Saccharomyces cerevisiae S288C: one gene and its partners. The gene in region 2 interacts genetically with the main gene of each other region. Each region holds a gene or a part of one and is shown on either strand. Other genes may lie near its edges.

Region 1 (2,594 bases), on a different chromosome or scaffold from region 2:
GAGCCCATCAGTTATGTAACGAAGGTTACCAGATATATTTTGATGGATTGGTTACTACTGTATGGTCGGCGCCAAACTATTGTTATCGGTGCGGCAATAAAGCATCTATTCTGGAGCTGTATAGTAAAGATCAATTCTACTTCAACGTTTTCGAAGAGGCACCTGAAAATAAACTGTTGAAAGAGAACAGTATGAACGACAATGCCTTAGAAGATAGCATATCTAATCCGGTAGCCAACAGGAAATTGATTGCAGATTATTTCGAAGACGACTCTGCCTCCGCAGATGGCTCCACGGACCCTGAAATGTACATATTTTCAGATGTATACCAAGCCAGATCTGCTTCTAACAGACATGTTGATTACTTCTTGTAGCTTACTAAACAATAGAAAAGCATTATAGAGACAACGCCATCTTATTATTTCTACATATTCTATCTCTCTCGGTTGCAAATGTATGTATTGTGTATTTAGATCAAAAAAAAAAAAACAGCGCATTTTCTACAGGTAATACAGCTCCAAATTTGTCTGATCATGTACCTCATAATCTTCCAGAGAGATATGGTCTTTTAAAACACTTCCACCCTTCTGCAACACAATTTTGTTTGGTTGGGTGCCAATTTGCAAGGACAATACTTTTTTGAAATCACCTACACTATCTTCAGCAAGGCACTTCACTCTGACTTTTTTGCCTAATCGGTCATTCACAACTACCTCAATCATTTTCAGAGTATTTATTTGCAATCTAAGCTTTGCCACCGCTCCTCTTTCTCAATCTTTTCCTCTCCCTCCTCATCTCTCTCAGCCAAAACCGCGAATATATAAAAACAAGCAAGTCTCCCGTAGAACTTTTACACGATGACCTTTCGAGATTTCACAAGGGGGATAAAGGAATGCTGTCCGATACAATTGACACAAAGCAACAACAGCAACAGCTTCATGTCCTGTTCATAGACTCTTATGATTCATTCACCTACAATGTAGTGAGACTAATTGAACAACAAACTGATATCTCACCGGGAGTCAACGCCGTGCACGTGACGACGGTACATAGTGATACGTTCCAATCTATGGATCAGCTATTGCCACTTTTGCCGCTTTTTGATGCTATCGTTGTTGGCCCAGGACCTGGGAATCCCAACAATGGTGCACAAGATATGGGTATAATATCTGAGCTTTTCGAGAATGCCAATGGAAAGTTAGATGAAGTTCCAATATTGGGTATATGTCTTGGGTTCCAAGCAATGTGCTTGGCTCAAGGTGCTGATGTCAGTGAGCTAAATACTATCAAGCATGGGCAAGTGTATGAAATGCATTTAAACGATGCAGCCAGAGCTTGTGGCCTTTTTTCTGGTTATCCCGATACGTTCAAATCTACGAGGTACCATTCATTGCATGTCAATGCCGAAGGCATTGACACCCTTTTGCCCTTATGCACAACCGAAGATGAGAACGGTATTCTTTTGATGAGTGCTCAAACGAAAAATAAGCCATGGTTTGGCGTACAGTACCACCCGGAGTCATGTTGTTCAGAATTGGGGGGGCTGTTAGTCAGTAACTTTCTCAAGTTGAGTTTCATAAATAACGTGAAGACAGGAAGGTGGGAAAAGAAGAAACTTAATGGAGAGTTTTCCGATATCCTATCTCGATTGGATAGGACTATTGATAGAGACCCCATATACAAGGTAAAAGAGAAATATCCGAAGGGCGAGGACACAACTTACGTTAAGCAGTTCGAGGTCTCTGAAGACCCGAAATTGACATTTGAAATTTGCAACATCATACGAGAAGAAAAATTTGTCATGTCATCTTCTGTGATTAGTGAAAATACGGGTGAATGGTCTATCATTGCTTTACCAAACTCCGCATCCCAGGTATTCACTCATTATGGAGCTATGAAAAAGACTACAGTTCATTATTGGCAAGATAGTGAAATTAGTTACACCTTGTTGAAAAAGTGTCTAGATGGTCAAGATTCGGATTTGCCTGGCTCCCTTGAGGTAATACATGAAGATAAATCCCAATTTTGGATCACTTTGGGTAAATTTATGGAGAATAAAATAATCGATAACCACAGAGAAATACCTTTTATTGGAGGTCTTGTTGGCATTTTAGGTTATGAAATAGGTCAGTACATTGCATGCGGCCGTTGCAATGATGATGAGAATTCCCTTGTTCCCGACGCCAAACTAGTTTTTATCAACAATAGTATAGTCATTAATCACAAGCAAGGGAAGCTTTATTGTATTTCTCTGGATAATACATTTCCAGTGGCATTAGAACAATCATTAAGGGACAGTTTTGTTAGAAAGAAGAATATTAAGCAATCCCTGTCCTGGCCCAAGTATCTTCCAGAGGAGATAGACTTCATTATAACTATGCCCGATAAACTTGACTACGCTAAGGCGTTTAAGAAATGTCAGGATTATATGCATAAGGGTGATTCTTATGAAATGTGTCTCACAACGCAAACCAAAGTTGTACCATCTGCGGTGATAGAACCCTGGAGGATTTTCCAGACCTTGGTACAAAGAAACCCGGCTCCATTTTCAAGTTTTTTTGAGTTTAAAGACATTATTCCCCGCCAAGATGAAA
Region 2 (3,068 bases):
ACTATTATCAATACGAATATTGAGACGTAAATGAAAACCCTTCTCACAGATCTAATCATTTTCCTAAGACTCGGGATGATATAGAATTATTAAGGTATTTCCTATCATAAAATCTTTCCCTTTTCGGCGGTTTTGTTTTAAATCTGGATTTCTAAGCAAAGGATTTTCGCTAGTTTTTTTTTTTCAAGTAGCTCGTAAAAAGAAAACGAGAGCTACTCCTGCATGATTCATATAAGATTTGACGAGTGTATAAGATACATTTGTATTGGTGTACATTATGAAATCTATGTAATCTACCTAAGCGTAAAAAGGAGATCTTGCCTTCGATAACTAGTACGGTGGAAGAATTACATTTAATAACGAACGGGACAATATGATATCATAGAAGAAAAAAAAATGAGTCCCGATCACTATTTTACTTCATATCTGCAGCTCGGACATGTTTGAAGATTATAATGCTTGTGATGGTCATTCGAAATAGTGCCTCTTCTAAATGTTTGAATAATTTTCCATAGCTAAAGGTTAAGTTCATCCATTAGTTTCTTTTTTCTTCTTTGCACTAACCAATGCTCCATATCTGCCAGAGTTGGTACATGGATTTCTTGTGTCTGCCTTGACATTTCTTCTTCATCTTCATTCACAGGCACATTATAATGTGCTTTCAAAATGGATGTCCAGTTAGCCTCAAATTCGGTTAAGGCGGCTGTGACTTTGCCATGGTAATAAAAATCATTTCTATCCTTCGGTATGCATTTGGTGTTTATAGAACCCCCATCATTCTGCCTTTGAGACTGCTTGAGCCATTCTTTTACTTCAGGCAATTCCAGGGCTCTTCCAAAATATCTCTTACCATTTATCAGCTTTCCTGAATTCATCAGCACATGACTGTCTTCTAACCTTTTCCTCTTGGTTTTTTTTTCCATAAGTGTATGGTCAATGTGCCACTGCCATCTCTTCCATTCTTTGAAAAGATTATTAAGTTCGTCGTTAAGTTCCGCAATCTGCATTTCATTTAAAGACGGATCATATATTCTTGTGCTTTTTTGTTTTATCTCTTTACTTACTTGTCGCTTCCATTCGTTGGCCTCTTTTATGGATTTTACCTTAGACACGTTCCTGGGCCTCTGGTAACGTGAATAATCCTTGTATCCACCTGCCGACTCTGCTTGCTGCTCTTGAAATCGTACCAGAACTGAGTTGGCCTTATCTACATTTCTACTCATTTTGAATGCACAGGTATCTGATTACTGATGTGGTGCGCCTTGCGATATAACGGTGTGTCACTTTTATTTGCTCTTTCATGCATCCTGAAATTATTTCACCGCACTACGCAAAGAGAACGGAGAAAAAGGTATAATAGGGCAAATGATCATTGACATCGTGATCGTAAGCCAAAAAAAAATACAATAGGCTCCCTAAATAAGTAGAGTAAAAGCTCTTGAGATGAAGGAGAATGACATGAATAATGGCGTAGATAAATGGGTAAATGAGGAAGATGGTCGAAATGATCATCATAACAACAATAATAACTTGATGAAGAAGGCCATGATGAACAATGAGCAAATTGATAGAACTCAGGATATCGACAACGCCAAAGAAATGTTGAGGAAAATATCAAGTGAAAGCAGCTCGCGCAGAAGCTCCCTGTTGAATAAAGATTCATCTCTCGTGAACGGCAATGCAAACAGTGGCGGTGGTACGAGCATTAACGGAACAAGAGGAAGTTCTAAGAGTAGTAATACACACTTTCAGTATGCCTCCACGGCGTATGGTGTAAGAATGTTGAGTAAAGATATATCTAATACCAAAGTGGAACTGGATGTGGAAAATTTGATGATTGTTACGAAACTCAACGATGTCTCACTGTATTTCTTAACAAGAGAGTTGGTAGAATGGGTTTTGGTACATTTTCCACGTGTGACTGTTTATGTGGATTCCGAATTGAAAAACAGCAAAAAATTTGCCGCTGGCGAGTTATGTGAAGATAGTAAATGTAGAGAATCAAGGATCAAGTATTGGACAAAGGATTTCATCAGGGAACATGATGTTTTCTTCGATTTGGTAGTGACTTTGGGTGGCGACGGTACTGTTCTTTTTGTAAGTTCCATTTTTCAGAGACATGTACCACCCGTTATGTCGTTTTCATTAGGGTCTCTAGGATTTTTAACAAATTTTAAGTTTGAACATTTCAGGGAGGATTTACCTCGGATTATGAATCATAAAATCAAGACAAATTTACGGTTGAGGTTGGAGTGCACAATTTATCGTAGACACCGCCCTGAAGTAGACCCAAACACGGGGAAGAAAATATGTGTGGTGGAAAAACTAAGCACACACCACATTTTGAACGAAGTGACCATCGATCGTGGTCCAAGTCCTTTTCTATCCATGTTAGAATTGTATGGTGACGGCTCATTAATGACCGTTGCGCAGGCGGACGGACTGATTGCTGCTACTCCGACTGGGTCCACGGCCTATTCTTTGAGTGCAGGTGGGTCATTGGTATGCCCAACCGTCAATGCAATCGCTTTAACACCCATTTGTCCACATGCATTGAGTTTCAGACCCATCATCTTACCAGAAAGTATAAATTTAAAAGTGAAAGTCTCGATGAAGTCAAGGGCTCCAGCATGGGCGGCTTTTGATGGGAAAGATAGAATTGAATTGCAAAAAGGTGATTTTATAACCATATGCGCCAGCCCATATGCTTTTCCAACCGTGGAAGCCTCGCCCGATGAGTTTATTAACAGTATCAGTCGACAACTAAACTGGAATGTGAGGGAACAACAAAAGTCCTTTACGCATATTTTGTCCCAAAAGAACCAAGAAAAATATGCACATGAGGCGAACAAAGTCAGAAATCAAGCAGAACCTTTAGAGGTAATAAGAGATAAATACTCTCTGGAAGCAGACGCTACTAAGGAAAACAACAACGGAAGCGATGATGAGAGCGACGATGAGAGTGTAAACTGCGAAGCTTGCAAATTAAAGCCTTCGAGCGTCCCAAAACCTTCTCAAGCAAGGTTTTCAGTATAATGTTACATGCGTACACGCGTTTGTACAGAAAA
Region 3 (2,791 bases), on a different chromosome or scaffold from region 2:
AGCATCATTTATGTTTTCCCCAGTTTGGGTTCAAATTTTCCTGATGGTTTTCCTAGGCGAGCTAGGTGACCGTTCACAAATTAGTATTATTGCCATGGCTACTGACAGCGACTATTGGTATGTTATTGCAGGTGCTGTTATTGGTCATGCCATTTGCTCTGGATTAGCAGTGGTGGGTGGGAAATTATTGGCAACAAGAATTAGCATAAGAACAATCACTCTTGCTAGCTCGTTGTTATTCTTCATTTTCGCCTTGATGTATATATATCAAGCATTCACAACTCAGGATTGAGATGGTTTGTAACCGTATTCTTCTTGGATTCTCTCTTTTTTCTCTTCATATTTAAGTGTGAATCTTGAAAAGAATATTTATAGACATACGTAACTAGTGTACGGCTGATATTTATTTGATGTAGCTTTTTTTTTTGCTAAGTTCATCGCTTTTCTTTCCCAGCCAACCCAATGAAGTCTTGCGCACGCAATTGGTTGTAATTATCCGATCAGCCGCTATCATCATTGTCACGGTCGGGTTCCTGTAATACCCTTTTCCTTATTATTCCCTTAATTTTTTCATTCGTTTTCTTCTCGAGCACTTCCATAATAGGCGCTAATTTGGCTTTGAGATCGCTGGTTTCGCAAACCTTATCGATGTAACGCTGATGTTCGTTTTTTTGGGGGATAATATATGGCTGACCACTCTCTTTTTGTTTCGTCTTCTGAATAGTTTCTTGTACAAAACTATTCGTTGCGTTAGAGCTCTGTCCTGTTTGAATCACCGTGTCATATACAGGTTCATTTGAAATATTTAAACCAACAAAATCATTGGCTTCTTCTTTGCCTGTTTTGCCCAGCTGGTTGATACGGGCACGTAACTGATTTAATTCTTGGTCCCTTTCTAGTGATAAATCTCGCAGAGAGGGCATACTGGTTGTAAAAAGTAGTCGCAACAAGTAAGTCGTAAAAAAGTAGATGTAATGGAAGGCTTTGAAGGAACGGCTAGCCAGCTTTTCTGTATCATTCCTAGCCTAATTGACAGCATCTTGACCTTCTAGTATGGAAACTTTCAATTTCAGAAAGCGGTGTTCCCCGCTGCGACGATTTAATCCGTACATTTACACATCTGTACATTTTTCATATTCGCAAAACAAAGGTTACTTGAAAAAATCATAAAGTTGGCGGCTTCAGGTGGACGCGCTTCACTCATGTAGCTTAACATTCAATCCCATTAAGCATTATGCATAAATTTCATGAAGTTTACTTAATAAAATTGTTCATTTGCATAGACAAGAAAGAAAGCAACAAGACAACTAAGACTAAGCAACAATGCCAAGTACGTATTAGACTATATCGAAGAGGAGGGAAATTCTTCACTCTGACTCGTTGATTTTGAAAGAGGTTCGGGTCCTCATAAATATTTGAGAATATGAAATTCCATAATAGTATACCTTCATTGAGTAGCACGACAACAGCCTGAATTACTATCCATATTATGAATATCTTTATTTACACTGAACTCCCGACACTTCAGTTAAACAGGGATACATTAGAGATCAAGGTGATCTAATAGGGAACATCTCTCTCGTAACAATGGGACAGTATTTTATTTTCCAAGGCGGATACCTAATTATGCGTTTTTAATCATATCTCTACAATATTTATGAGCACTTACTTGGGCCCTTGCAGACTTTTGTTCCGGGAAAACTTTTGACTAACAAGAATCCAATTTTACTTTTTTTTTTTTAGGAGCTCCAAGAACTTACTCTAAGACTTACTCTACACCAAAGAGACCTTACGAATCTTCTCGTTTGGACGCAGAATTGAAGTTGGCCGGTGAATTCGGTTTGAAGAACAAGAGAGAAATTTACAGAATTTCTTTCCAATTGTCTAAAATTCGTCGTGCTGCCAGAGACTTGTTAACTAGAGACGAAAAGGACCCAAAGAGATTGTTCGAAGGTAATGCCTTGATCAGAAGATTGGTTAGAGTTGGTGTCTTGTCCGAAGACAAGAAGAAGTTGGATTATGTTTTGGCTTTGAAGGTTGAAGATTTCTTGGAAAGAAGATTGCAAACTCAAGTCTACAAGTTGGGTTTGGCCAAGTCTGTCCACCACGCCAGAGTTTTAATCACTCAAAGACACATTGCTGTTGGTAAGCAAATCGTCAACATCCCATCTTTCATGGTCAGATTGGACTCTGAAAAGCACATTGACTTCGCTCCAACTTCTCCATTCGGTGGTGCTAGACCAGGTAGAGTTGCTAGAAGAAACGCTGCTAGAAAGGCTGAAGCTTCCGGTGAAGCTGCTGAAGAAGCCGAAGACGAAGAATAAATAATTCGCTGATTTCATAACTGTATAATAAATTTTATAACTTTTCAAATCACGGATCATTTTTCATTTTACTTTGTCATTTTTATTTCATTTGAAAATGGGTAGAGGTACATAACTGGCGCTTTTCTTGCAAGATGACATGGCATTGGATGACACAAGTATTACTCAATACCCAACGTAAATAGCTAGAAGATTTTGATCGGATTTAAATTCCCAACTGCAACTCAGTAGCGTTTAGGATTTTACACCTTGGCTTGGAGAAATCCTTATTGTCAGAAATTGAAGCCGTTAATATTTAAAGGCTAATTCTCCATGCCATCTTGCATTCACTTTGGTATATATCTCTTGACCTCAATATATCTCGATAATATAAATCGCAATATTATACTTGTTAGTCTGACAGTTTTACACCTGTACATCTTCACCATCACCACACCCTTTTTTACTGGAGGCAAGGATGAGTTTGA

The links. Genes that interact genetically often act in the same process or in processes that back each other up.
Region 1: mutations in ISY1 (region 2) and HUB1 together harm fitness more than expected from each alone (negative genetic interaction), as found in Saccharomyces cerevisiae (4 studies listed by BioGRID, with this or other methods).
Region 3: mutations in ISY1 (region 2) and NTC20 together harm fitness more than expected from each alone (negative genetic interaction), as found in Saccharomyces cerevisiae (6 studies listed by BioGRID, with this or other methods).

Annotation. Positions count from the first base shown.
Region 1 is NC_001146.8:686,743-689,336, forward strand, and holds HUB1 (ubiquitin-like protein HUB1), read right to left. Parts: upstream 723-2,594; coding exon 501-722; downstream 1-500. Other genes in the region: putative serine/threonine-protein kinase PPG1, read left to right, coding at 1-374; ABZ1 (4-amino-4-deoxychorismate synthase), read left to right, coding at 893-2,594. UniProt on the Saccharomyces cerevisiae protein: Forms conjugate with SPH1 and HBT1. Involved in morphogenesis.
Region 2 is NC_001142.9:526,852-529,919, reverse strand, and holds ISY1 (Isy1p), read right to left. Parts: upstream 1,224-3,068; coding exon 516-1,223; downstream 1-515. Other genes in the region: OSM1 (fumarate reductase), read right to left, coding at 1-59; UTR1 (NADH/NAD(+) kinase), read left to right, coding at 1,444-3,036. UniProt on the Saccharomyces cerevisiae protein: Involved in pre-mRNA splicing and cell cycle control.
Region 3 is NC_001134.8:603,185-605,975, forward strand, and holds NTC20 (Ntc20p), read right to left. Parts: upstream 924-2,791; coding exon 501-923; downstream 1-500. Other genes in the region: putative ribosome biosynthesis protein GDT1, read left to right, coding at 1-292; 40S ribosomal protein uS4 RPS9B, read left to right, coding at 1,324-1,330, 1,744-2,324. UniProt on the Saccharomyces cerevisiae protein: Involved in pre-mRNA splicing. As a component of the NTC complex, associates to the spliceosome to mediate conformational rearrangement or to stabilize the structure of the spliceosome after U4 snRNA dissociation, which leads to spliceosome maturation.